Linked DNA regions of Astyanax mexicanus. The protein of the gene in region 1 purifies or fractionates together with the protein of each later gene. This does not show direct contact. Links are inferred from orthologs where the notes say so. Each region holds a gene or a part of one and is shown in the gene's direction. Other genes may lie near its edges. The genes, in order: sirt1, recql4, brinp1 and ect2.

Region 1 (7,652 bases):
TGCACGCGCGCAGCAGGATCCTACTGGCCATCTCTATCACTCTCACTGCAGGAGCTGTTTGTGTTACTGGTGCTACTGGTGTAACTGGTGTTATTGTGACCCGACAGTCAGCTGGACTGAACTTGACCGACTGGGAGAAATGACTGACACCAAAACCCTCCAATCCTGCAGCAGTCACCTCTCTTCCACCAATAAGCTTTCAGTGGGCGGGGCTTCAGGAAATGAGTCTGAAGTGAGCTTCACCAGCACAGCTGATCATAAGCAGCACGTGAGTAAAAATAACTACTATTTTAAAAAAGTTGCATAATATACACCAATTAGCCATAACATTAAAACCACCCACCTAATATTGAGTAGGTCCCCCTCTTGCCCCTAAAACAATTCTGACCCCTCGAGACATGGACTCTGCAAATTTCACCTTCAAAATCTTACCATGCACACAGTGTGATTTTACTCTATATAAAATTATTTTAGTGTATATGAGTATACTATATTTAATCTGAATATACTGTACATGCGTGCGCTCTATAATGTGAGTATAGTATACATTTGGTGAGTATACTGTACATAGGATGAGTATAGTGTATATAGTGTTGTGTATATGTGAAAATACTGTGTGTAGAATTAATATATTGTATACACGGCACGTATACTGTAGAGTGTGAGTATACTGTATATAGTTTGAGTATAGTGTATATAGTGTGAGTCTACTGTATAAAGCATGAGTACTGGATATAGTCTTAGTATAGTGTATAAAGCATGAGTATAACACATATACATGTGTGTATCTGGAGTAAATAAAGTACGTACCACCACAATGATAATAAACAGTTTTTGACAGTGGTTTTGTCAGTTTGTGACTGTTTTTATTCATGTTTTTTTCTTCACATTTTTTTTAACTTTTGAGAGCTTGAACATTTACAGTATAGCACACATTTCCCATAGTTATCCAACAGCTAACATAGTTTATAAATTTAACAACATACAAACACACAAAGTCTAATCTATTTAACAATAAGAAATAATCTCTGTAAGATATTAACCATTACCACAAATTACAGCAAGCAAGTCTGGAGCATGAAGAGCTTATAATTATAATCATATTTCATAATTTCTAAACTTTTGCAACAGGCTTGAGGGAGCATCACTTGCCCAGCGAAATCTGTGACACCAATAATCCTCACCTGAAAGAAAAAAAAACAGAATTAGATGGACAGATAGACCAATTTATTAAATCTTTTTTTTTACCCAATTTTCTCCAGTTTTCATGCCTGTGCTGACCAGTGATGAGGGGATTAAGCGCCACCTACCCACCCAGAGAGAGGATGGCCAATTGTATTCTCTTAGACTCCAGCTGCTGATGGACAAGCAGCATGACCCAGGATTCAAACTCACGTTTCTCCGATCATAGTGATATCGCCTTACTTTTTCGATGTTTTATTTTATTACTATTATATTAGTTTTTCGCGCAGACTTTCATAATAAAAATATATCCAGAAAGTTATTTACTGAAACAAAATAAATCTCACCAGATGTTTCCTCCTTTATGGAATCTGGACCCTCAGACTGGATGGCTCTGGTTTCGGTGCTGACTTCAGATATATCTTGTGGTGCAGCAAGCATGGGTTCCTTTTTGGTTCTTACAGCCCAGTGCACTGACTGGAGACAATTAGAGACAATAAATGATTGACAGTTATTAGCACATTCATTCAGTACATATGAAGTCAGAAGAGAGAGTGTGTTTGTGTGTCTGTTGTGTGTAATACTCTGTATATTATGTTCTGTTGTACATCATATAACATAGAATATATATTGGAGTAATTGAATATAGTTTTGTACACACACATAAATAAATGTGATTATTTGATCAGCAATATCCAGTCGATAATGTCACTCACGGTTTTTACGGAGTCCCTCAGTGCCTGCCACTCTTTAAACGGCACAGTGATCCGACTCCTCATCCAGAAATCATAACTCTTCCTTTTCGACTCGTCAGTCAGAACATCTTTAGCCTCCTGTAGTTTTTTAAACTCCTCCACTGCAAAACACACACAGTATCAGCAAGAAAATCAAATCATCTGATCAGTATGTATGAATTTATTCAGTATTATGTGCTGCATCATCCACAAGCTGGTATAGTTAATCAATGATTCAGTAAGTCAAATGCGATTGCCGCCATTTAACTCTAAAATTAAGTGTAATATGTATATTGTAATATACATGTATAGGTTCAGATTTCATACCTAAAAATGTATATGTAAAGCCATAATAAATTATAATCAGCTCACCTGCTGCGGGATTGTTGGGGTTCTTGTCAGGATGGCAGTTCAGTGCTCTCACTTTAAACTCTCTGAGAATTTGTTCAGTCTAAAAAATAAACATAAAAGTTTAGTCTGTGTTTAGTCAGTATTTGGTCAGTGTTTCGTCTGTGTTTGGTCAGTATTTGGTCAGTTATTGGTCTGTGTTTGGTCAGTGTATTGTCAGTGTTTAGTCTGTGGTCAGTGTTTAATCTGTGTTTAGTCAGTATTTGGTCAGTGTTTAGTCTGTGTTTAGTCAGTATTTGGTCAGTGTTTAGTCTGTGTTTAGTCAGTATTTGGTCAGTGTTTAGTCAGGGTTTGGTCAGTGTATGGTCAGTGTTTAGTCTGTGTTTAGTCAGTATTTGGTCAGTGTTTAGTCTGTATTTGGTCAGTGTTTAGTCAGTGTTTGGTCAGTGTATGGTCAGTGTTTAGTCAGTGTTTGATCAGTATTTGGTCAGTGTATGGTCAGTGTTTAGTCTGTGTTTGATCAGTTTTCGGTCAGTCTATGGTCAGTGTTTAGTCTGTGTTTGGTCAGTATTTGGTCTGTGTTTAGTCAGTGTATGGTCAGTTTTTAGTCTGTGTTTGGTCAGTATTTGGTCTGTGGTCTGTGTTTGGTCAGTATTTGGTCTGTGGTCAGTGTTGGGTCAGTGTTTAGTCAGTATTTGGTCAGTGTGTGGCTCTCCCAGCCGTTAACCTCCATCCCCCGCCTGGCTGGAGGCTGATACCGGGTAGAAGAGCCGGTACAGCGGGTAACTCTTACCGTAGAGAGCTCGTCGCAGCCGAGCAGCCCATAATAATCCTCCAGATCCTCCGGGTTGCAGTTCAGTATCGCCTCCATAAGAGCAGCCTTTTCCCCCGCAGCTCTCTGAACTCCGCCGTCGCGGACTCTACCGTAAATACCCTAAACCCCGCGCCCACCGGACCCGGAGTGACCGAGACAAAACTAAATGTTTTTGATTTTCATTCGTTAAAACAGCAGCACAAACATTCACAAGCTACCGGATACATCTAATCAACACTGCCAATGTAAAGTCAATGTGAAGTCAATAATAAATATTAAATAAGTTATGCATTTCTATTTGTCAAATTAATATGAAATTCTTATATAAAGAACAAGCGATTCTATTTATTAATATACTGATCACATTTTATAAAGCATATAAAATATATACATATAAACTAAATAATATAATATTATTATTATGCAATTATATTATTATTGTTATTATTATTATTATTATTATTATTATTATTTTAGTATATTAGGTTATATACTATAAATGTTAAAACACTATACAAAATACATCCCACGTATATCTTACAGCCAGCTACTATTCTCAGGACATTTATGGAATTGTTATCAAAAAAGAAACCCACAGTAACATATGTCACAGACCATTTAAAAGCTGTGTAAAGTTTCTTACTGACTGTACTGAACATCCTGAGAGCATCATCACTACAAGACAGTGTGTGAATCTGTGTTCCTTCATGTGAGTTCATTTATACAGAATAGTACAGTAGGAGTGCTGTAGGATTAGGGCTGGAGATAAAACTAAACAAGCTCAGTTTTAAAGTGTATTGTTTGAAGTAACATGATTTCTAAAACAAATGCATAACAAATGTATAAATGTTCATAATAGTTAGGAAATACTTTTTGTGTCATTTATGTTGCATTATGGTTTTAAACTTAAAATATTTAAGTCCACAATATTTATTGTGTGTCCACGGTAGGAAACAAACATGAATGGGCTGCTCACTGAATTTTTCTGATTTAATTTTGAGTTTGGTATCAATACCCAGAAATGCGTGGGTTCCTAATTATTGATGTAAATTTAACACCAATGTATTATATATTTATATTTATTTACTTTATTATTTCTTGCTTTATTGTATTTTTTATACTTTTCTCTTTATGTGGGATCATTTTCGAGAAGCAAAGAAAGAAGTTTATTGTACTTTATTGTGTTTAAGGGTGCAGATGACAATAAACTTAAAAAAAAATTGAATCTTTAAATCTATGTTAGGACATTTCTGAAATTATCAATGACTATTAATAAATTAAATTTGACTTATTCGAAATAATTAATTAAATTATCGACTATTATAGTGGGATTTGTGTAAATAATATTTGCCAGAAAAATACTATTAAATAAAATGTACAGAACACACAGTTGAAACTTGTCTGCATCAGCTGAATAATCTGTTTTATTGATTTATATCTGTATGAATCTGCTGGTTTGTGGGGTTTATTATGGGCTCTCCTGTCTTTGTTAGGGCTCCGTTGACTGACGTCATTCACGTTGTTGTAGTGGCGGAGCGGGAGTCACGTGCGCGGGTTAAATATCCCCCAGCTGTGTGTGTGTGTGTGTGTGGTGAGAGGCTCGCGAGCTCGTACGGCGCCCGTGTCCATTACATCACATCACATCAGGAACGGCGCGAGCACAGGAAGATGGCGGACGGGGAGGCTTCGTTAAAAGGAGCCGGTTCTCGTACCGGGTCCGGTTCTGGTGACTCGGAAGAGCCTGTGCTGAAGAAAGCGCGGATTAGTGTATCTAAAAGCCGCGATCCGGATCCGACCCGCGGCGAGCAGAGCGCGGGAGAGCCGGAGCTCGCTGAGGGTCGGGCGGCCGAGGATTTAACCCAGCCCGCGGATCAGGAGCCGGGGAAGGCGGGGGTTGAGGCCGCGGCGCCGGGGGAACCCGCTGACGGACTGCTGATGTCTGAGAACAGTAAACACGGTTCTAACAGCGAGCAGACTCCCGAACCCGCGGCGGAACACGAGCTCTCAGGTAACCGGATCACACCGAGGGGGTTTGGGACGATTGGCGGCTGCTCCGAGGCTAATGTTAGCGCGAGATTTGGCTACAAAATCTCGCGATGGTTCGGTGACTGAATTAGCCAGTCAGCTAACTAACTAGCTTTTCCCGTTACCCAACAGCAGCGGGAATTTAAATATAACGTTATATTAATATCCTTATTAACTAACGCTAAATCAGGATTTTATCACTTTTATTGATCTATCTGAAGAAACTAATTAAGCTAGATAGCTACCGTAGTCAGCAATAACAGAATTAACTAGTAAATTAACAAGTGAAATTGACTGTATTAGATGTAAAGTTAGCTAGGTTAACAAACTTTTTTATTATTATTTTTAATTCTTGTATATAATGCAATCCAGCATAATGAATAAACAAGATAGTATGTCAAATTCTCAGCAAATACAACCAACATCACACATATAACAAAACAAAACAAAATCACACACAAACAGAAAATAAATTTCAAATAAGACTAAAAAGCTTCAAAATATCTAGGAATTTATATGTTCTAATCCATATTATGTCAAAAATACTCAACTATGTAAAGAGAAAAAAAATGGAAGTATCCTTAAGTGCAATCATGCAAAGACCATCAAAACAACATGATGATGAAACTGGCACTCATCAGGACTGCCCCAGGAAAGGAAGAGCATAGGATCTTTTGGCTAACGCTAAATTAGGATTTTATCAGTTTTATTGATCGATCTGAAGAAACTAATTAAGCTAGAATACTACCATAGTCAGCAATAACAGAATTACTTAGTTAACGTTAATTAATCAGTAAAACTGACTGTCTTAGCTGTAAAGTTAGCTGTATAGTAAGTTAGGTTGGATAACCTAACTTACTATTATTTTTTTTATATAAAATACAATCTAACATACTGAAATAGACACAATATTAGGTCAAATTCACAGCATATACAACCAACACACATATAACAAAACAAATGAACAACAATATAACAAAACAATACGACTTTTATAACAAAACAATACGATTTTTTTTTTTTTTTTTTTTTTTTAGATCTGCAGATCTAAATTTTTGTACTAATAAATATGTTATAGCTAATATCTGAAATGAGTTTCTACCAGTAAAACAGAGTTAGCACATGTGTCATTGTTGTGCTTTAGGTTAAAAATCTTTGCCGTAAGTACATAAAGTGCTTGATATTAATGGTTCTGGTTCTTTTACAGGGGTAATCGACGGCAGTGTCCGCCCAAATGGGTTTTACTCTCCTAATATTAATGATGAAGATGATGATGACTGCTCTTCTCATGCCAGCTCCAGTGACTGGACTCCTCAGCCTCAGATTGGTATGTTCGAACTAGTGGCAAACAAGCTTTCATTTCAGTACAATTTCAGATATCTGTAAATATTCACATTAGTGCATCGCTTTTTTAAATGTTAACCTGTATGCATTGTTGTGTGATTGGACAGGTTCCTACCGTTTCATTCAGCAGCACATCATGAGAGAGACCGACCCGAGGACGATTTTGAAAGACTTACTTCCAGAAACTGTTCTTCCACCTGATCTAGACGACATGACACTGTGGCAGATTATCATTAATATTTCTGAGCCTCCTAAAAGAAAGAAACGCAAAGATATTAACACCTTGGAGGATGTCGTCAGACTGCTTAATGATGGCAAAAAGATACTTGTCCTAACTGGAGCAGGGGTGAGTTATTTAATTAGGTTTAACATCTTGATATAATCAGGTATAAATAAAAAAAAAAGTCCCTTGGTTTATTAGAAGTATTCACACTGTTCTGTAAGCTTGTTGTCCTGTTTTGTACTTAGAAGTAAGGGTAGGACTCACAGGGCCTCTCACAATACGATATTATCACAATATGCTGACCATGACAATGATGCAACCACGATATTGTGATTCTGCTACATTAGAAACTTAACAAGTCAAAAACTCATTAAAAAAAAGACAAAAATCAGGTATTACACGTTTATTGGTGTCAGTTTCACATAGTTTGACAACCAATATTCTTATTCACAGCAGCTTTACCATATTTAGCAGGTTTACCCTATTAATTTGATTAGCACCACCACAGTGATATGATGTAATGATATCAATATTTTGTCTCCCCCAACAGTTTGTATTATCCAGTCATTATTGTGCAATTTTTCACATTTGACAACAGATTTCTGGATTTTTCAAGGCCTTTTTCTAACAATTTATATGGAAATCACATTATTCCACTGATTCATTCATTAGTGCTTCAGTAAATAGTTTTGAATCTTAAGTGTCATGTCTTTTACAGAAGATTGATTTTATATAGTTAAAATCTGGTAATTAATGTGACAATATAGTAATTTGATTTTTTTATTCATTATTGTTTGGACACATTTCAGCTGTAACAGTGATTCTGTTTTTATTTCACTCTCTGCAGGTATCTGTTTCTTGTGGAATACCCGACTTCAGATCCAGAGATGGAATTTATGCTCGACTTGCTGTTGATTTTCCAGACCTTCCAGATCCTCAAGCAATGTTTGATATTGACTACTTCAGAAGGGATCCTAGGCCA
Region 2 (6,918 bases), on another chromosome or scaffold:
TTAGGATTTTTTAGGACTTTTTGCCCAAATTTAAGCAAAAATGTGTAATTTAATGCATTTCCCAATATTGGAAAATCTGATGAAAAAGTTGATGGCCTCTAAAGGGCCTCAACATTTTCGGAGCACTTATGAATGTTAATTTTTGATGGCTTTTTAATTACCTATCTTCTCATTTTTTCCTCAAGGTGTTACCTGGAAAGGACTGGTGTCAGATTCTGATGGGTGTGTGGGTGTGGCTTCGCTCTGTGAACGTTTGGTCAACGTTCTTCCTCAGTGCTTTTCATTTCCACACTCTGAGACGGACGGCTCCTCCCATTACCAGCCTGAGCGGTCCCCGAGGTTTACCCAGAGGAATTCTAACGGGGTTCGGTTTAATCTGGAGCAGCAATCTCCTCTACTCCGTACCTGCCTTCATTTACTCCACCAGCGGAGGAAAGAACGCCACAGAGGTACGGAATCACTGGTTTGAATCCTGGTCATGCAGCTTGCCATCAGCTGCCGGAGCCCTGAGAGTGCACAATTGGCCTTGTTCTCTCTCTCTGGGTGGGTACAGTACAGTAGATGGCGCTCTTCTCTTTCTCCTCATCACTCCTAGGGTGACGTGGATCAGCACAAGGCTGCATCTGTGAGCTGATGTAACAGAACCGAGTCGCTAGCGCTGTGACGCTACTCGGCAATGCTGCATCAGTGTACTGGTCTTTACCATCCCTGTGTTGGGTGATTCAGTGTTCTTGCACCATTTAAAAAGTCAAATTTAATGCTTTTTAAGGCCCAAAAGTTCTCTCCCCCGTAACGTTAACATAACTTTCCGCTGACGTTAGTACATTAGCTAACTCGCCGCTAATGTTAGCTAGCTTTCCACTAGCTAATTTACAGTAAACCAAGACAATTTAAGACCTTAATTACCTAGATTTTATAGGTAGATTTCAGCAGCTTGATGATTGAAACAATTGGCTACATAAATTGGGAAAAATGGGAAAAAAATAGAAATAAATTTAAAGAAAAAATAATAAAGTCATGCATGAAAAAGAATGGGAGTTAATGGGAGTAACAAGGGATGTAAAAACAACAAACGGAAGAGCATGGCTTAGTTCAGTTGAATCAGAAATTGTGTTTCATGAAATTTGTATTTATTACCTGCAGTTTGTTGGCTGTTCTCACTAAATTTCCTCCCTTCTGTCTCTTATATATTAAACTACAGACGTTAATGTTGGTGAGCAGCACCACACGTCCGTTACTGGGCTGCCTGTGGGATTTTCCCTCCGTCTACAGCGGTCTGGCCTTCGCCACCACCTCCATGGTGATCCACGAGATCATCCCCATCGTGCTCATGAGCGTCACCAACCTGGGATCACTTCTCACACTGTACGCACACGGAAACACCCACAGCACCGGGAATAAAGCCCAGGACGCTCCGGTCATCCGCAGGGTTCCTGCAGAGAGACGAGCTGCCAAGGTCAGAACATTTACTGCCACAACTTTCATTTATTTTCAATAAGAAGCTGCACTGCAAAAAATTAAATCATAAAAAGTAAAAAAAAAAAAAATCAAATTTAAGGCTATAAATCTTCTTCTAAATTCTTTCCTGATAAGACTTTTGGTCTTATTAAGCATCGTGTAAGTGTTAGATTATTTTGCTTATTTTAGGAATAATTGTCCCTTTCAGACATGAATTAATTGATCCAGTGATGGAAAATGTAAGAATGCTGTTTTCTTTTTGTAATCCAAAAAAAAGACACTATTTAAAAATAAATGTAAAAAATACATTTTATTTTTAATGCACTTTACATTTCAAACAAATGTAAAAAAAGAAAGTGCTAATTGATTAAAACTGATTAAAATTGATTTAAAACTTTAAATTGATTTAAACTTTTTATTCCTAAACATAACAAAAAAGTGTTCAAAATTGCAGAGAATTAGTAAAAATAAGCTTATTTTTAAGATAAACTTACCTTTTTTGTTCTGTAGTGATTACATGCCCATTTTCTTTTTTGTACAATGCAGTGGGCGGGTCTAAGCTAGTTTCATTGACTGGTTTATGATCTATTCTGATGGACAACATCAACGTCTCAATTAGTGTTCTGTGTAAATTAACATTCAATAAAAAGAAACTACATGATGTCCATTGTAATTGACACAGGGTCTGTCAGTCATACTTCAAATTTTTACTTTATTTTAAGTAATTTGAACTCAAAATAAGCATTAGGTTATTTTTCTTATTTTAATTAAGTTATTCTGTTTCTTTTGTCCAAATGTAAGGCAAGAAAAAAACGTTTTTTGAATGTTTTTGATTGATTTAAAGCTTACCGCACTCGTTTTAAGACTTAGCGATTGTTTTTTTTTTTTTTTTGTAATAAATCTTACTAAGAAAAATTTGCTCACCCCATTGGCAGATTTTTTTGGCTTAATATAAGCATATATGTCTTAATTTACATAAATCTTGTCTAGTTTTTGACGATAGATTTTTTTTGTATTGTGGCTCTATGATGCGAGCTCAGCTCAGCATCAGCAGCCGGAGTCTGAGAGATCCCTCACACCTGATCTAGATAATTAATGTTTTTTAGCAGCATGTGAATGTTCTAGATTCAGGTACGTTCAATCTGAAATCTCCAGGGTGGTAGATCTCCAGGGGGCTGCTCAGCATCAGCAGCTGGAGTCTGAGAGAGAGCACAAATGGCCTTGTTCTCTCTGAGTGGGCATATTAATTGTATTAATTTCTCCCTTATTTTTTTTGTATTTCTCCTCTTCAGGTGATTCTAGCCCTGATCCTTCTGTTCATCGTGTCCTGGGGTGCAAGTGTGATCTCAGTGAACTACTTCAACTACAACCGCGGAGCTTCATCTACGTACCTGTTGGTTCTGGCCCGTTTCTCCAACAGTCTCTTTATAGCTTTGTCTCCCCTGATCCTGGCTGTGGGACACCGGAGACTCAGACAGTTCTTTAAATCCATCATCTCTCACTGACTGACTTGTGTTCTGCAGGTTTTAAGGGACGATACATTTTAATGCAGTAAAGTAATATAAACTTACTTTAGCTTGCTAGAGTGATATTGTCATGATAGGTCTTTTATTCTGAAACCTATAAATACTGTGCCATGCCAACTAATAATAAATAAAGGGCTTGTATGGTGCCACATCTATGTCAAAAACACCAGGTGACAATAATAAACATGCAAGTTTTAACATTTTATCTGTTCAGTTTTTTTTTTTTTTTTTTGCAAATTCTCACGATTGCTGCCACTAGTGGTCCAAAAAATTTTAACACAGATTACAATATAATATAACACATATTTTGGGAAAAATCACTAGAACGTGCTCAGTGTCCTCATGTCATTAGCATAGCCGCCATTTAGCTATTTTTCATGTTTTTGCTAATTCTATGCTAAAAACATTCACTGTTACTTTCAATCCTGTTACTCAAAACATAAAAAGTAACAGGAATGAGTGCCAGTGACAGGAGTGAGTGCCATTAACAGGAGTGATTTGTTTTGTCATAAATATCAATTATTTGAACATGCAGTCAACCATTTCTTTAAAATAAAGACTTTCTTGAGAGAAATCAGCTTCAGTTTAGTAATCTTGTAAAAAGGTTGACCAGCACATGTTTTAAATCGTTAAATACATGCATTTTTAGATTAAGATTTTTAGAAAAAAATAAATAAATAAATTTGGAAGACTTACAACAAGCAAATGGCACCCATTTGGTAGAATGTCCCATAAATACAAACAATACAACACTATACAAAGTCGAGGCCATGCATTATTACTGTTATTATTATCGATTAAATAAAGAAATAAAGAAAAACATTGAAAGTGAAAATGTGTCTAAACTGTTTTTTTTTTTTTTTTTTTTTTAACGTGGGACTCTTATTTTGACAGGGGCCGGTTCGACGTCTTCCTGTGTTTTCCGACCGGCTTGAGGTTTGGCGCGCTGAGTTGAAAGGAGCTCGAGCTGAGAGCTGAAGCTGAATCTGTAGGATAGTTAGTTAGTAAAAGGCTGGTTATTTGGTTTATTTGAGTTATTCTGGTGAAGTTATTAAGTTATTTCTCTTGTATAAACTCTCACCCATGCGCAGCCTGTTATTGTATGTTATAATATTCACTGTAGCCTAATAAAACCTGTAGATAAATTAGGAAGGTTCTCTCAGGGCTCAGAATGGACCGATATAACGATTTAAAAATCCTCCTGAAGAAATGGGAACAGTCCTTTATGCAGATAAACAACAGGAAACCCAACAAGGTAACATTAGCTACATGTTTACTCCTGTATATCTTCTTATACTGAGTGATTTAAACATTATTGTTCAGATGTGAGTTTCTGTTGCTCTCGGTGAAGCTGTGTGTTTACCTGCAGGCTGGTTCCTGTTGTAGTTGTGGTAATTTTAAGCTAAATAATGATTTATTAATATATATAGATAGATAGATAGATAGATAATTAGGTTAGCTAACTTTAGCTAATGTTGTCATGCTTGTGTGTATTTATTTTTCTATTCTTTAATAAATCTCAGCTCGCCCGTGCAAATGTACACCATTTGAGATAATACCCTATTTGTTTTAAAAGACAGTGATTAAATCCGAATAAACTTGATATTCTAAAGTAAGCTGGATAAAAAAGGGTAACCTCCTAGAAATATGGAGGAATAATAACTTTAATAATATCTACCATGGGAAAAAAAAAAAATATATATATATATATATATATAATATTTATTTATTTATATATTTATATATATATTTTTTTCCATGGTAGATATTATTAAAGTCTATGTGATGCTGCGATAGATAGATAGATAGATAGATAGATAGATAGATAGATAGATAGATAGATAGATAGATAGATAAGGTTAACCTCCTAAGAATATGAGAAAAAAAAATTAAATATATGATTTAATTGTCTATTTTATTGTTCTAAGGACAACATAAAATCCTAACAGTACAAACACAAATTAACAGTAAAAACTGTACATGTTTACAAAAAAACACCTGATTATAATCTTTGTTCTTTTTATTACATGTATATGTATATTTGTGCGTTTGCGTGTGTGAGTATATAAATATAGTAAATATATGTATTAAACATTGTTGATTATGTCAACTATCTGCTGTATGTTAATATTTTTAGCAGTCAGTTGAATAATATAAGCAGTTCTTGTTCTACATTTTGTGAGATTTTAAAAGTATGATAATCTTAGTTTTACGGTAACACATTGGGTGGTATTTCCAAAAATAATCCTGTTGTTGTTTTTATTATATATTTGTAATATTATACATAGACATTTGAAGGAATGTAAACCTTAAACAGTTTTTTTTATACAATAATATGTCTTTTTTTTTTTTTTATAAACTAAATAAAGAAAGCTACAAGTGAGATGTTTTTCTCAATTAATTATCACATTTTTTATGGATTAAACTGTTGATTTCTCAAATAATTTAATGATTGCTTTTTTAGGATGATATTGATGCAGCTCCAGAAGAGACCAGGCGTAAGTTAATAATCAATTTTTAATACACTGCACGTGTTTTTGTCTCTTAAATAAAAAGTTCTGTTTGTATATATTCATTATGTCCTGAATATATTTGCTCTCTTGCAGAACTTTATAAAGAGTATCGCACTCTTAAAGAGGCGAAAGTTAGTGGAGAGAGTGATGTTCAGGTGAAATCACAGGAATCCCAGTCTGCAGGAATGGTATGTACCCTGATTTATGCAGTGTTTCTGTGTTTATCTGTGTTGATCTGTAATTGTGTTTCCGTATGTTTAAATAAATTATGATTGTGTTCTTGTGATTAAAAGGACTGCTGGGGGTCTCACCTTAACCGAAAGAGCATGCCAGTGGCTGCACCCAAACTGACATTAAAAGACAAAGAGACGTTGCATGCATCTGCTCAGTACTTCGGCATGAAGCTGAAGTCTAATCTCGGAGCTCTGTCAAAGGTAAGTGTCGGCCTGTCACGATAACTATAGATGCTCGTAAATAATACACATAACATGTGAACCTACCACAAGAATATGCATTATCTATGTATGCATGTACTTATGTTATAAATTGATTGATTAAGTTGAATAATGTATTTATCACAGCTGGCCTAGGCAAGTGAGAATTAAATTGTATTAAATTGCAGAACTGTTTATTGCTAAAATGAACCACTGTCTGACACCAATTTTAACATGTATCGTATTTTGCACTATAAGGTGCACTGGATTATGAGGCACATTTTATGCGACACTAGGAAGAAACAAGGGTATCACCATGTTTTCCTTGTAATTCAGAAGGCGACGAGACCTGTGAAGCTGAGCTACCTTAAGTAAACATAACTGTAATTCTTAAAAAAAAAAAAAAAGCATTTTCTTTTAAAGTCAAAGTAGTGCTGGATGTTAATCTAGAAAACTGTTTATTTGGGTGAGAAAAGCGCTTCCCGTTTATTTAGAGTAAGCTTAGATTTCCAGTTTTTCACTAAGGCTGGGTACAGCAGCATTAGTAGCTTATTTTAACAAGGTAAACGCACAGGCCACAGGCCGATATACTCAACTATGAATGGCGCGGTTAGCGGCTAATGCTAATACTGCTGCACCCAGCCTTAGCGCTTCAGAGGCTTTATTGAAAGTCACCTTTATAAAGCTGTAATTCAGTGGAGTGGCTTTATTGCTACTTGAAACCTGACTGGTAGAATTTATACATAAGGAGCACTGATGATTTTTGTGAAAATTAAAGAATTTTAAGATTTACTGATTTTTCTTGTTTTTGAACTGTGTTTAATTACAGTATTGGTAAACTAAATATTGTGATACAGCATGATTCATGATACTGTTATTTTCTTACACTCTTATTAAATTGACTGTCTAGCAGTGTAGCTGTCTTATCTGTCTGTCTACCCATCTGTCTTCCTGCTTATCTTAAAATTTAGGAACGATCATTCTCCC
Region 3 (7,465 bases), on another chromosome or scaffold:
ACTATGAATTATTCAGTATCCAATATGAATTATTCAGTATTTACTATGAGCTATTCTATAACTTCCATGAACTATTTAGTATCCACTATGAATTATTTAGTATCCACTATGAATTGTTCAGTATCTACTATGAATTATTTCATATCTAATATGAACTATTCAGAATCTACTATGACTTATTCCAAATCTAATATGAATTATTCAGTATCCACTATGAACTATTTAGTAACTACTATTAACTATTAAGTATCCACTATGAACTTTTTTAGAATGCACTATGAACTATTCAGTATCTACTATGAATTATTCAGTATTTACTATGAGCTATTCTATAACTACTATAAACTATTCAGTATCCACTATGAATTATATAGTACCCACTATGAATTATTCAGTATCTACTATGAATTATTCAGTATCCATCATGAATTATTCAGTATCCACTGTGAACTCTTCAGTATCAACTATAAATTATTTACATCATTCACTAAAATGATTAAGTATTTCATATCTAATATAAATTGTTCAGAACCTACTATGAACGATTCACTATCTACTATTAATTTCTCAGCATCCACTTTCAATTATTCTACACTTATCATTCAGTATTTTATATTCAGTATATTATAAATTACGTGCTCTGTACCTGTGGTGAATTATTTAGTAATTTATGTTAATTACCAGTACAAACTATAAATTATTGAATATGTTTTATAAATTAAACTGACACTACTAAGAACAATTAAGCATCTATTTGAACCAAGTCTTGCAACTAAATTTTGCAACTCATTGTTAAGGCAATGTAAATAAATTGAACAAATCCAGGCTTGCTTATATAATATTTACTACACAAATTAAACTAAAAAGTAAGAAGAAATGAACATTTTTCTCTACGTGGATCTTAAAATACTAAGTAGAATTAGCAACAAAACTTGGGTCATTAATTTCAATACACAGCTCTGAAAAAAGTATATAATAATGAAAGACCACTTAAAAATGATGAGTTTCTTTGATTTGACCAAATTAAAAAAACTCTGGAATATAATCAAGAGGAAGATGGATGATCACAAGCCATCAAACCAAACTGTACTGCTTGATTTTTTGCAGCAGGAGTAAAGCAGCATAAAGTTATCCAAAAGCAGTGTGTAAGACTGGTGGAGGAGCATGAAAACTGTGATTAAAAACCAGAGATATTCCACCAAATATTGATTTCTGAATTCTTAAAACTTTATGAATATGAACTCTGCATCTTTTTTTGTTGTTGTTGTTGTTGTTGTTATTTCAGCCATTTCTCATTTTGTCTGTAGTTTATAGAATAAAGCAACAATGCTAATTTTACTCAAATATGCACCTATACGTAGCAAAATCAGAGAAACCGATTCAGAAACTTAAGTGCTCTCTTAATCTTTTAATTTTCTGAAATATTGATATTTTGTCTCATATTCATTTTTAAAAGAGAAACCCACATGTTTTAAGTTCACAGCAGAAATAAATGGATTTGATCTCACTGTTTCTATTCTTTTGGAGGGACTGTAACTCTGTAATTCTGAGCTTTTAAGGGTTTAAACTTTTCAGTGAGACTAAGAGAAGGACAGGACAGGCAGCTGCTGTCTGGTCCAGCAGTGCAGAACAGTCTAAAGTGCAGAAGAGCCGTTTGGAGACGAGCCTAAAAGGACAGTGATCTGAATTCAGCACCACGGACAGCGTCTCGTCCTCTCCTGCGCTTCGTTTCAGTCGCCTCTGCTCTTCCTGAGTCCTGCGTGAGCCGGGATTACGTCCTGAAGCTCAGTGAAGTGTCTGACGGAAGCCGTCTCAAGGCCGGCGCTTCAGAGCCGCTGCTTTTATACAGATACAGCTTTACAGAAACGCTCATCAGCGCAGGATCAGCCGGAACCCATTCAGAACACTGGAGCCGGAGATGTTGCTGGGGAACAGAAAAGCATTCAGGACCTCCAGATTCATTATTCCTGACCCAGAGTTCAATGAAGACGAGCAGCAGAGTCGTGTACAGAGCTTTAAAAAAGATTTAAAACGCTCAACGTTAAACCTGCACCAATTTATTTTATTAAACTGTAAGCTTGTATAAGTTTAATTTACTTTAAAAAAAATATATATAGCAAACTGGTTGCCTTAAAAAAAGTTCAGTAATTGGGGATAAAAGAACTTGAGTTAACATTAATTAAAATATCAAATTAATACAATTAAAGGGGATTTTTTTTTACATTTTTGTTATATCAATTTATTTGCCCAAAAAATCTATTTAGTATCTTGTGTTCAAAAAAATATAAATATGTTGATCTTACTTTTCTTTTGAATTCCATTTTAATGAAATATGTATTTGATAAATAGTCACACTAAAAGCCAGGAAAACATGCATTTAGAAGCCAGACAGTTAATCATAATTTTTTTTTTCATTTAAATAAAAATTTTCCAATTTTTTAAAATTCTAATTCAAATAAAAATCATTTGTTAATTTTTAATTGTATTTTTTATGAAACTATGAAACTTTTATCTTCCTACTTTTTTTCGTACGTATCCTACTTTCATATATATCCCTCTCCTCAAACCTCAATCAATCTTTTTCTCTCTTTCACTCTTTTTTTCCTTCCTTCCATTTCTGTCATAGTTTCTCTAGTCCAACTCTTTATTGCTTTTTTACTTTATCACTCCTTTATCTTTTCTTCTCTCTCTCTTTGTTCCTTTCTATTTTTAGAGTGTACTCTTATTCTTTATTCTTTTGTCTTTTTATCTCCTGACTCATCTCTCTCTTATTATCTCTTTTAATTTATCCCTCTCTTTTTTTGCTTATCTCTAAGTCTCTCTCTCTCTCTCTCTCTCTCTCTCTCTACCACTCTGTATTACTTCTTCATATTCATCACTCACTTCATCTTTTCTTCTTTCTCTTTTCAGTTCACTCTCTCGTTTTCTATTCCTCTATTTTTACCATCCTTCACGCTTTACTTCTTCTTCATCTTCAACAGTCTTTTATATTTTTATCTCCTGCCTCCTCTCTCTTTATTTCTCTTTCAATTAATCTCTATCTCACTCTCTCTTTCTATTCATCTTTCTTTAGCACTGTTTATTTATTCTTTTCTTTCTTAATTCATTTCTTTTCTGCTTCCTTTCTCTCTCTTTTTATATATTTTTTATCTCCTGTCTGTCTCCCTCTCACTTTCAATTCATCTCTCTGTCTTTGTTTATCTCTTTCAGTTCATCCCTATCTCTCTTTCTCTCTATCTCTCACACACTCCCTCTCACACTGTATGTATATATATCTCTTTCTCTCTCTTTTCTTTTCTTTCTCTCTGTCACCCCCTATCTCTCTTTATCTCTTTTAATTTGTCTCTCTCATTCTGTTTATCTGTTTCAAGTCATCACTCTCTTTTTCTTCCTTTCTTTCTCTTTCTCTCTTTCTTTATCACTTTTAAGTCATCTCTCTCTCTCTCTCTGTATTCCTTCCTTACCTTCATCACTCCATTATCTTTTCTTCTTTTTCTTTTTAGTCCATTTTACCACTCTATTTTATATATATATATATATATGTATATATTCAATTAATTTATCTCTATGACTTTGTTTCTCTTTCAAGTCATCCCTCTCTCTCTCTCTATCTCACACACTCCCTCTCTCACTCTTTCTCTCACGCTCTTTTTCTCTGTATCTTTTCTCTTTGTTTATCTCTTTCAAGTCATCCCTCTCTTTCTTTTTCTCTCTCTCCCCCTCTCTCTTTTTATCTCTTTCAAGTTGTCCCTCTCTCTCTCTTTCTCTCTCTTTTTTTTCTTTCTTTTTCTCTCTGTCTCCCCTATCTCTCTTTATCTCTTTCAATGTGTCTCTCTCTCTCTCTGTTTATCTCTTTCAACTCATAACTCTCTTTTGCTTCCTTTCTTTCTCTTTCTCTTTCTCTCTCTGTATTCCTTCCTTACCTTCATCACTCCATTATCTTTTCTTCTTTTTCTTTTTAGTCCATTCTACCACTCTATTTTATATTTTTTTATCTCCTGCCCCCCTTTCTCTCTTTATCTCTTTCAATTCATTTCTCTCTATGTCTTTGTTTATCTCTTTCATGTCATCTTCGTTCCTCCCTTTTTCCCATCTTTTCTTCTTTTTTTTTCACACTGTTTAATATGTTTTAGCTACTGCTCTCTCCCTCCCTTTATCTCTCTTTTTCTCTTTATCTCTTTCAATTCATCCTTCTCCCTCTTTCTCTCTCTTTTTCCCTCTCTCTCTCTCTGTTTCTCTCGCGCTCTTTTTCTCTGTATGTATCTCTCTCTCTCACTCATCCCTCCCTTCCTTCCTCCTTCATCCCATCACCATCACCACCACCCTCCCCAATCCCTAAACCGCATTCTCGGCACCTCCCTCTCTCTCTCTCTCTCTCTCTCTCTCAGCTCTCGCGCGCTCCTCTCTCTCTCTCTCTCTCTCTCTCTCTCTCAGCCTCAGCTCTCGCGCGCGCTCTAACCCTCCCGTGTGCGCTCGTGTTCTCTCTCTCTCAGCTCTCGCGCGCTCCTCTCTCTCTTTCTCTCTCTCTCTCTCTCTCTCTCTGAACTACAGTGTGTCTATCGGTGGGGAGGTAGAGAGTGCGCGCGCGCTGTGCCGTGCAGTCTGCTGTGTGTTTTTCCCGGGCTTGGATATCTCTCTTCCTTTCTTCTTTTCTCTCTTTCTCTCACGTGCATCCCTCCGTCCATCCCTCCGCCGTCGTCGTTTTCTTCTCGTGCAGCTCCTGCGCTTTTTCTCTCTCTCTCTCCTGCTCGATGCTGCCCATCTCCTCTCGCGCTCGAGCATGAGCTGGGCTGCCCGTGCTTCTGCAGTCCAGCAGCCGCGCGAGCCCTGGATGCGCCTCCTCTCGGCCACCAACGCAGCACAGCAGCGGGCAGCGCGTGCCCAGCCCACGGGAGGGAACCGGTTTTAGGTGAGTTCTGGGTTTGTTTGCTCGGTTGTTTGCTGGGTTTTGGGTGCAGAAAGAGCTTTTTCTAAGGCGCGTGCGGCTCTACTGGATTTACTCCGGGGTTTGGTGCTGAAGCTGATGATGCTGGTCCTGATGTTGCTGATGCTGATGCGTCCGGTGTGCACCTTCAGTGCACTGTTCTTGTGTGTCCCAGGCTGGGGGTCTAGCGCGTGCTGATGTATAAATATATACATCCACTTATTAAACTGGCAAAATAATACCCAATTTACAAATGCATCGCAAATAATGCAAAATAGCATCATGCAAAAAAAGAAGAAGAAAAGCATCATTTTTTAGATCGTTTCTGAGATGCATGGACTTTTTTCCATAGTTAATAATATGCACATTTTGCTTGAAGAAATGTAGCATATATCTCGCTAAACAGTGCAAATTTTGCATAATTTTGAGTCAATTCTTTAGAAGCATGCAATTTATTTCACAGTGAGACCTTTATTGGCACAATTGCTTAGCTTGCAAAATAAAGCTCATTTTGTGTCATTTTAAAGCTAATTCTCCAAATGCATGGATTCTTTTTTACAGTAGGATCTTTATAGTCCATAAGCAATGTTAATATGTACCTATAGCTCGAACATCGTGTTCATAGCTTGCAAAATAAAGCTCATTTTGTGTAATGTTTGAGCTATATCTTTAGATGCATGCACTTTTTAAACAGTAAGACCTTCACACCCCATAGCCGAGGTTAATAGACACAATTGGCTTGAAGAAAAGGTACATAGCTTGCAAAATAAGCCTAATTTTAAGTCATTTTTTAAATGATAATTATTCAGTTGCACCTTTACAGTCCATAAGCAACATTAAAATGCACCTATAGCTCGAAGAACATGTTCGTGTTTTGCAAAAAAGACAAATTTTGTGTCATTTTTGACTTAATTCTTTAGAACCATAGACTTCTTTTTACAGTAGGATCTATATAGCCAGTAAGCAATGTTAATATGTACCTATAGCTTGAATAAAGTGTTCATTTCTTGCTGAATAAATAACAATTTGTGTCATTTTTTAAGCTAATTATTCAGATGCATTGACTTTTCGAACCGTAAGACCTTCACAGTCCATGAGCAACATTAAAATGCACCCATAGCTCGAAGAACGTGTTCATATCTTGCAAAAAAGACAATTTTTGAGTCATTTTTGACTTAATTCTTTAGAAGCATAGACTTCTTTTTACTGTAGGATCTATATAGTCTTTAATCAACGTTAATAAGCACATTTGGCTTAAAGATCATGCCCATATCTTGCAAAATAATGGATATTCTGGTTAAATCTCAAGCTACTTTGTATTATAAATCACATTTTCTTCTTATGAGCTTCTTTATAGTCTATAATTAACGTAGATATGATTGTCCGGAGGCTTGAAACCACTTCTGTGCAGTCACAGCACCGTCAGCTCTTGCACAGTACAGCACATTTCCCAGGCTTCAGAATGAGCTATTTCTTCCGAGACATGGAGTTAGTCAATAGCAGGAGCTTCATAGCCCGTAAGCAATGATAATGTGCCAATTTGTGTTGAGGAATGTGCCCATTTCTTGCAATAAAAAGCAGATTTTGTATCATTTTTGAGCTAATTCTTTAGATTCATGGGCTTATTTCACAGTCTGTGTTCATGGCGGTGTTTAAGCACACCTTTACGCTGAAAAATAAGCCGATTTCTTGTAAAATAAACCATATTTAGCTGATTTGTGGTCCATAGTCAATGGAAATATGCACTATATGCACTATTTTGCCGGCTTAAACCACTTTTTTGTCTAAAGATTGCATAATAAAGCACATGTTGGTTGAGCTAGTAATTTTTTAGCTAATATTTCACATGCATTGACTCTTTTTAATGCTTTAACCTTCAAATTCTGTCATAGGCCAGTGTTTAGATGGGGAAATAAGGGAAATAATGCAAAATTACAACTTAAAATGTGCTATTTTTTTCAAATGCATGCATCTTTTTGATGCTACGTGCTTGATTTTATATTAGTACCAGTTTATATTACTTTTAGAAGGTTTTAAACAGTTTTTGCCAAAAAAACAAAGCACTCTTTTGATGATTATTCTCATGCATATGGCTTTTTTTTAAATGCTATAACCTTCGTAATCTGTAATCAATACAATTGCACACCTTTAGACTCAAGTGCATGCTCATATATTGCAAAATAAAGCACATTCTGACTCATAAATGAGCTATTTTGTAATTAAATGCAGACATATCCATAAATATGTCATATTATCACCCTATAAAAGTCCATAATCAATGTGAATATGCCCTTTTAGCCGGCATTTTCCATTGTACAGAGGCTTAAATCCCCTTCTGTGCAGCCACAGCACCTTCAGCTTGCACAGTAAAGCACATTTTGGCTCCTGAATTAGCTATTTTTTCACATGCATGGACATTTTTCACAGTAGGACCAACATAGTCCATAGCCAATGCCAAAACACACCTTTGGCTTGAAGAACAAGGACATAGCTAGCACATTAAAGCACATTGTGACTTATAATGACTCGTTTATATGAACT
Region 4 (6,974 bases), on another chromosome or scaffold:
TTGTTTCACAATAAAAGTCATTTAGGTGAAAACAGGAAGCAAAGCCAAAAACTTATACATGGTGTGTAAATATCAGAAAAATATTAATATCAAAAAACCTTCCAGACTTTAAACGACTAGTTATGTTAGCCATGGTTAACCTAGGACTTTACATGTAACTCATATTAATGAACACTCAGTGTTACCTAATAGCCATTAGGAAATCACTGGTCTTAAAATCATTTTGGCAGCATCACAACTTTTCCCTTATAATCTCAGTTAAGCATTTTATCTCCAGTAGGGGTGTCAATATGGTGCTAAAAATAATATCATGATATTTATTGGTATTATGTGGTATTTTCGCAATAACAATACTCTTGGCAATATGAGAAAACACTGAATAATATATATAAATATATATAAAACATATGATATATATATATATATATATATATATATATATATATATATATATATATATATATATATATATATATATATGTATATATATATATATATAAACATATAAAACACATACGTATATATAGACAATATATGTATATATACGATATATATATACTATATATATATATATATATATATATATATATATATATATATATTTCAAGAATACACTACTGCAACAAAATGAAAATCTAATTGTATTAGTGCATACGATATAATATGCTACACCCCTAACTGAGATATAAAAAAAAAACACGGATTTTTATCAGATTTGTAACAGAAGTCAATTATCCAGAATGTCATGATACTAATAATAATGCACTCCAAATATCTCCATATTCCCAGGATTAAAGTAAAATAAATGATACTGGACAGATATAATCTATAGTCTCTAGTAGATATACCGGTATAATGGTAAATGAGAACAGAGTGATTTTTTCTTTTGCTAAAAACTGCAAAAAAAAGTAGTACACTGATGTGATAATTAGGGGTGGGTGATATGGCACAATATTTTAAGGGTATAATATTATAGTTCAAGATATTCAAAAAGGTTGGCGATATTATTGTGCACGATACAATATGGCACACCACTAATCTCCATTTCTTTCCTTCGAGCCATTTCTTGGTGGATATACTAGACGTTTTCAAGAGTCATTGTCATGTTGCATGGTCCACCTCCGCTTTAGCTTTAGTTTTAGTTTTAGTTTTTGGTGCAGACAGACAGAGAGAGTCTCACTTTTTTCTCAAGCCTCCGTTGATACAATAAAGACTTCACAGTGGCTCTATTATGGAGAATAACATATAATAAGATCACTTACCTTTACAGTAATTATTTTATATATTTCTTTAATATATATATTTCAAGAAAATAATAATAATATATATATATATATATATATTAAATTCTTTAATATATATAGTTTTTGTCTATGGATCTATTTTATTCAGTGATGAAGGGTTAGGATTAGGAATTGAGGAATCTCATTTTGTAAGTCACCCCATCTGTTAATAGCAGTGAAATCGCTCCTTGCTCTGAAAAGTGTCAGTTTAATTTCTTCTAATTTCGTTTCTTCCTGCCAAACTGTCAAACGGGAAGCAGAGAAAAAGACAGCTGAAAAAAGCACTTCTGTTTCTTTTCTTTTTTTTCTTTTTTTTTTGAATAAATCCAAGTTCATTTGGTCTTGATGATGTGAGGAATATAAAAGGTAGCACTAGCGGTACAGGTGAGGTTTTAGCGCAGCAGGTGAAATCCAACCTGCTGTTTAAAAATGCAGCAAAAACACTGTCTACTCTATGACAAATAGTATTTTACTACAGCGCTCCATTCCCTAAATAAATTCCGTTCGCTCAGGAGCTCTCTGAAATCTCAGAAAGACTACCTACTGTGACTTTGTGATAGACGTTCATCTTCTGCCACGCGACCGTTTAGTTCATGTCAGGTGGTCCACCTGGGGGAGACCGCTGGGTGCGCCTCTCAGAGAGTGACAGAAAGGAGAAGGTGGTAAAAGCAGGCTTCACCGGGCTTTGTTCTACAGAGGGGGGCTTTCAAGCTCCAGTGGGCCTATGAGGAGAGGCAGAAGGGGGGAGAGCACACAGTCGCAACAAAGGGCTGAATCTGCCACACAGTCACTCAGAGTCAGAGGCTAAAAAACAAAAAGAGAGAATCTCTCCAGTCCTCATCAGTGTGTCCTTCAGCCCGGGCACAGACACAGGTTTCTCAAGGCCCCTCTGAAGCCGGTCCCAGCAGCCTCAGCAGCCGCAGGAGCAGCCACCCCCCCTAACCACCGCCTGGGAGGAATTGGTTATGAGCCTCGGCCTCTGGAGCCGCCGCGCTGGTGAGCTGGAGCAGAACAAAGACACAGACTTTTGAAGAAGCTCTCATTTGAAAAAAAAAAAAAAAAAAAAAGGGCCAGTCTTCTTCTTTGTGAAATGATATGGGAGACAGGCGACATCTTCATTTTTCAGAGGCCTGTCATGTGGTATCTGTGTTGGCTTAATATTTAAGATGCGCAGAGCAGTGAAGTCCCAGCAGCAGCTTAATAAATATTTATTCTGTGAAGACTCAGACTTCAGACTTCCCAGCTTCACTTACTTACTTCTCCTCTGTAGTTCTTGGCTTCTTATAAACAGACAGGTGGATAGCCTGTGGTCAAGTCAACACATTTATGCAATTTAACATTAAGACAGTTGCTTAAAGAGCACCTTTATGTTAATGCTACTGTCTGCTTATATACAGTTATGTGCCTGGGCTGGCGCTAGCCATTTGAGTGCTCACCTTTTTCAATAATTTATTGGTGTAATTTGATAACAGTTTGATTAGTTGGTTTTATAGGACTTCACATTACTCCAAATTGCCACAATAATATCACTAGATACTTAAATCCTGAACAGTATCAAAAAGTCTCTTTAAAGATTTAATGGTGGGTTTGTTTGTTATATAAAACAGCTTGATTTTCTGGTTTTATACGACTCCAAAATCTGGTTTATTAAAAACCGAAAAGACATTTTTCCTAAGTTTGACTTTCCTTTACTTGAAAATGCTACAGTAACATAACTTGATACTTACTGTACATCAATAATAGTATGGAAATGGTTCTTCAATGATTTGCTGGTTTTATAGGACTCCAAAATCTGGTTTATGCAAAACCGAATGGACATTTTTTCTAGGTTTGCCTTCACATTAATCCAAATTGCTACAGTAATGTCAGTATATGTAAATGTCTCTTAAAGGATTTAATGACTTTATTTAATAAAAGTTTGATTTACTGGTTTTATAGGACTCCAAAATCTGGTTTGTGGAAAACCAAACACACATTTTTCCTAAGTTTGATACTTGATACTTAGTCACTCAATACTTACAGTACAACAATATTAGTATAGAAAGGGCTCTTCAATTAAATTTTTCCTCTTTTTTAAATGAACTAAAATGCCTGTCCTCAAAAAGCTAACCTAGTGTTTGTGATAAATTAAATTAAAAAAATAATTAGATAGTTTCTCAAAATATATTTAAATAATGAGATAGCATCTCAAAATAACGAGATAGTATCTCAAAATAACTAGATATTTTCTCAAAATGTCTTTAAATAAGGAGATATATTAAAATAATCTAAAAATATCGATTTGTTATCTTAAAAAAATAAATGATCATTTTAGAATAATGAGATAGAATCACAAAATAACGGCATAGTATCTCAAAATAATGAGATTTTGCCTCAAAAAAAAAAACTTTGTATCTTATAATAAAGTTACTTAGCTAATAATGATACATAAATATGTGCTGGATTAATGTTGTGAATTAGGTGTGAGGAATGAGCTTCTATACTAGTGAAGAGATGATTTAAAGCAAATCGGAATAAAATAATCTGAATAAAGTATAAACTGTTTTCTCAGTCAGCCCAGCGCACGCGCCCCGCCACTGCATCGCGGTTTGAATTTAACAGCCAATCCGGAGCCACTTCCGCCAACCTCATCCGCCTCAGCCAATCAGCGCGCGGCTCCTCGGTGCGGCTGTAGTTTTGAATTCAGAACGGGAGAGGATCTGCTGGAGGAGCACAAAGCTTGAAAATGGATTTAATGTTTACACTTGTTTCCTAGCGTTTCTCAGCCCACGCGCTCTGTCACACCCGTGTCCGGCGGTGTGGTTTATTTTATACGGGTTATCGCTCGGTTTTTGGGGCGGTTTGTTGTGTGTTGGGTAGTTTAACAGTGGGAAAGGGAGGCTGCGGGGAACTCTGTGTAGCTGCTAGCCGGCCTCCTGCTGCTGCTGCTCAGCCAGGCAGCTCAACTCTCAGCTCCAGCAGACCTTTCAGCACTGTCCCCGGGCCCGACCTGACTCTTGCTGACCCCGGGTAAGTCTTCTTATCTCTGCTTCCTCTCTCTAAACACATTTATTAACTTTAACCACTGCTTTTTGCTTTATTTTTAAGGTTTTTCTTAGTAGCAGTGCTTCCAGTAGCCCCCCACCTTTAGCTAGGCTAGCTAACTAGCAGACAGCTGTCACTGTTTAAACACAGCAGCTAAGTAGCTAAACTAACTAGCTATTTTTAATAAAACTACATCATTTTAACCTTTATGTTATTGTCAAATGTATGTACACCCTTTTATTCTTGGAGGAAATCGGCCTTGGGCTCATCAGAACTTTAAACTTTAAGAAACTTGACCTAATATAGCTAAATAAACATGTTACCCTACCCAACACAGGTTTGTTAACTGGTTAATTAGCTAAGTTAGTTAGTTAGTGTTAACCTTGTTAACAACTTTAAATTATTTTTATTTTATGTGTTAGTCCACAAAAGGAAGATAATAAGAGACCACTTAATGATGTTTTTCCTTGATCTTGCAAAATTGAAAACCTCTGGAATATAATCAAGAGGAAGATGGATGATCACAAGCCATCAAACCACCAAACTGAACTGCTTGAATTTTTGAACCAGGAGTAAAGCAGCATAAAGTTATCCAAAAGCAGTGTGTAAGACTGGTGGAAAAGAACATGATGCCTAGTTGCATGAAAACTGTGATTAATAACCAGAGTTATTCCACCAAATATTGATTTCTGAACTCTTAAAACCTTATGAATATGAACGTGTTTTCTTTGCATTATTTGAGGTTTCATTTTTTGCTAATAAAAGGTCTGTGTGTATGTACTGTATATTAGTTGCTGTCCAATGAAAAACAAGTATTTACATTTTGTTAATTTTTTAGTTTACTACATAACTTAAACAGACAAACTGTCCCTTTACACTATCAACATTTCTTTATGAACGGACAAATAGAAAAATTTCAGCATGACCTGAAACAAACTCTTTTTACATCGACTTCCATTGAAAATTTAGAAGTTTTTTTCTCTCTTACAAAGTTGCTGTTTTGGAGATACTTTTTTTTTTCAATGCATAGCAACTATTTGTAGCATTCCTAAACTGTTTCCAGTTGCTTCCAGACAAACTTTGGATAACTCTTCTTTTCTCTACCTTTTTACCTACTATTTTACTAGCTTGAATAGATTTATTAAGTTTGCCAAGAGTGTTAGCTAGCTTAGTTAGCTACTTAAGGCTAGCTAGTTAGTTAGATTAGTTAACTAACCTAGATGGGTATAGGGATGTTTAATAGTAGGTTAACTTTTTTTGACTTTAATTATGTTCCAATGATTAAAAAATATGAGAAATGCTGTTTTCCAAAAAAAAAAAAAAAAAAAAAAAAAATATATATATATATATTAATGTTATGTTTAACTTGTTGCCCTTATTACATATAATACACAACATTATGTTGATTTCTTTTTCAGAAATGTTAAAACAGTGAATAGGCACAGAATTTTCCCAAATATAAAAGGAAGATTAACATAATGTTCCAGTGAGTTTGAGTGCAGCAGTTTTACAGTAAGTAGGGTGTAATTTTCTCTAATGTCATTTGTTGGATATTATTATTATGGACACTATGAAAGCAGGCACTACAAAAAAACAAAAAAAAACCCATAATTTTCCTTTATTCTGGGCATGACTTCAATCTCCAATATTGGAAATAATAGAACTTTACTGCTAATTAGAATAAATTGTCCCATTATAACTGAAGCACATACAACACAACGAGTCTAAATATAGCTACACATAGGAAAAAAGTTTTATACTATAAAAGTTAAGTTTCCTTTTTTTTTTTGAGGGTCATTGTTTGCAGTTTGCTGAACATAGAGTTCACGACTTTCTCTTCTCCCTTTTTGATGTAACTGTTAATTTTCTTTTGGACAGGATTGGGTCACAGCACCATGGCTGACAGCAGCATAGTGACTTTGGGCATGGCCCGTAGCCTGCTGGTGGACTCGTCTGTGTACGACTCCAGAATGGCAGAGACCTCTAAGGAGCACACCTTCCTGGGGCTGGCTCCTGATGAAGCAGAGGGTAAGTGAGGTCTCCACTGGAGTAATATATCAAATAAGATTTGAATTATTTCTTTATTTTAGTTTAACATGCTTCTGTCACTTTATTCTAAATTGAACAGAGGAGCCCAGATTTCCATTTTTGTTTGACGTATGACAGTATATGTATTTCCTGGGAGACTTGCCTTGATTCTTGTCTTATTCTTATTCTTTCAGAAATCCTTCGCCGAGTGGAGACTAGAGTAGTGCTGGTGGGAGAAACAGGCCACGATCCTGAACTTGTAAAGGCATTGGAGGTAAAGTGGGATTGATTGCAATTTACTGTCGATAAGGAAAAATCATATTATGCCTGTACTGTATTTAACACATAGTGACATTATGCAAGATTAGCCACAGTGATACATTTTTGTTATTTTAATTTTTAGTTATATTTATATATATTTTTTTGTGTAATGGCACTCAGTAATGATTACTGGTAGAAATCACAGGGCATGGATATTATGACTATACACTGCCCACAATTATATCACAATACTATGATTCTGCGATATATATCGCACGACAATCATCTACGATACTTTCACAAAATTTGACCAGTATTAAATTATTATGAAACATTGTACAAATAACGTGCATTGCTTAGCTTGCAAAGTACATGCAA

What was found.
Region 2: the proteins of sirt1 (region 1) and recql4 purify together in Homo sapiens (affinity purification with mass spectrometry; 3 studies listed by BioGRID). This does not show direct contact. The link is inferred for Astyanax mexicanus from reciprocal best matches to the Homo sapiens genes SIRT1 and RECQL4.
Region 3: the proteins of sirt1 (region 1) and brinp1 purify together in Homo sapiens (affinity purification with western blotting; 6 studies listed by BioGRID and IntAct, with this or other methods). This does not show direct contact. The link is inferred for Astyanax mexicanus from reciprocal best matches to the Homo sapiens genes SIRT1 and BRINP1.
Region 4: the proteins of sirt1 (region 1) and ect2 purify together in Homo sapiens (affinity purification with mass spectrometry; 3 studies listed by BioGRID). This does not show direct contact. The link is inferred for Astyanax mexicanus from reciprocal best matches to the Homo sapiens genes SIRT1 and ECT2.

Annotation. Positions count from the first base shown.
Region 1 is NC_064414.1:2,518,264-2,525,915, forward strand, and holds the start of sirt1 (NAD-dependent protein deacetylase sirtuin-1), read left to right. Parts: upstream 1-4,649; 5' UTR 4,650-4,746; coding exon 4,747-5,086; intron 5,087-6,310; coding exon 6,311-6,430; intron 6,431-6,554; coding exon 6,555-6,793; intron 6,794-7,517; coding exon 7,518-7,652. Other genes in the region: cytochrome c oxidase subunit 5B, mitochondrial, read right to left, coding at 1-31; dnajc12 (dnaJ homolog subfamily C member 12), read right to left, coding at 1,099-1,184, 1,530-1,659, 1,899-2,038, 2,289-2,367, 3,058-3,135. UniProt on the Homo sapiens protein: NAD-dependent protein deacetylase that links transcriptional regulation directly to intracellular energetics and participates in the coordination of several separated cellular functions such as cell cycle, response to DNA damage, metabolism, apoptosis and autophagy.
Region 2 is NC_064410.1:3,356,201-3,363,118, forward strand, and holds the start of recql4 (ATP-dependent DNA helicase Q4), read left to right. Parts: upstream 1-3,912; 5' UTR 3,913-4,155; coding exon 4,156-4,239; intron 4,240-5,448; coding exon 5,449-5,482; intron 5,483-5,590; coding exon 5,591-5,685; intron 5,686-5,790; coding exon 5,791-5,931; intron 5,932-6,902; coding exon 6,903-6,918. Other genes in the region: olfactory receptor class A-like protein 4, read left to right, coding at 186-449, 1,202-1,456, 2,751-2,963. UniProt on the Homo sapiens protein: An ATP-dependent DNA helicase which unwinds dsDNA with a 3'-overhang in a 3'-5' direction. Does not unwind more than 18 bp of dsDNA. May modulate chromosome segregation. The N-terminal domain (residues 1-54) binds DNA Y-shaped DNA better than ss- or dsDNA.
Region 3 is NC_064408.1:4,680,170-4,687,634, forward strand, and holds the start of brinp1 (BMP/retinoic acid-inducible neural-specific protein 1), read left to right. Parts: upstream 1-4,448; 5' UTR 4,449-4,909; intron 4,910-7,465. UniProt on the Homo sapiens protein: Plays a role in neurogenesis and brain development. May suppress cell cycle progression in postmitotic neurons by inhibiting G1/S transition.
Region 4 is NC_064423.1:4,513,344-4,520,317, reverse strand, and holds the start of ect2 (protein ECT2), read left to right. Parts: upstream 1-3,948; 5' UTR 3,949-4,292; intron 4,293-6,185; 5' UTR 6,186-6,202; coding exon 6,203-6,335; intron 6,336-6,529; coding exon 6,530-6,609; intron 6,610-6,974. UniProt on the Homo sapiens protein: Guanine nucleotide exchange factor (GEF) that catalyzes the exchange of GDP for GTP. Promotes guanine nucleotide exchange on the Rho family members of small GTPases, like RHOA, RHOC, RAC1 and CDC42.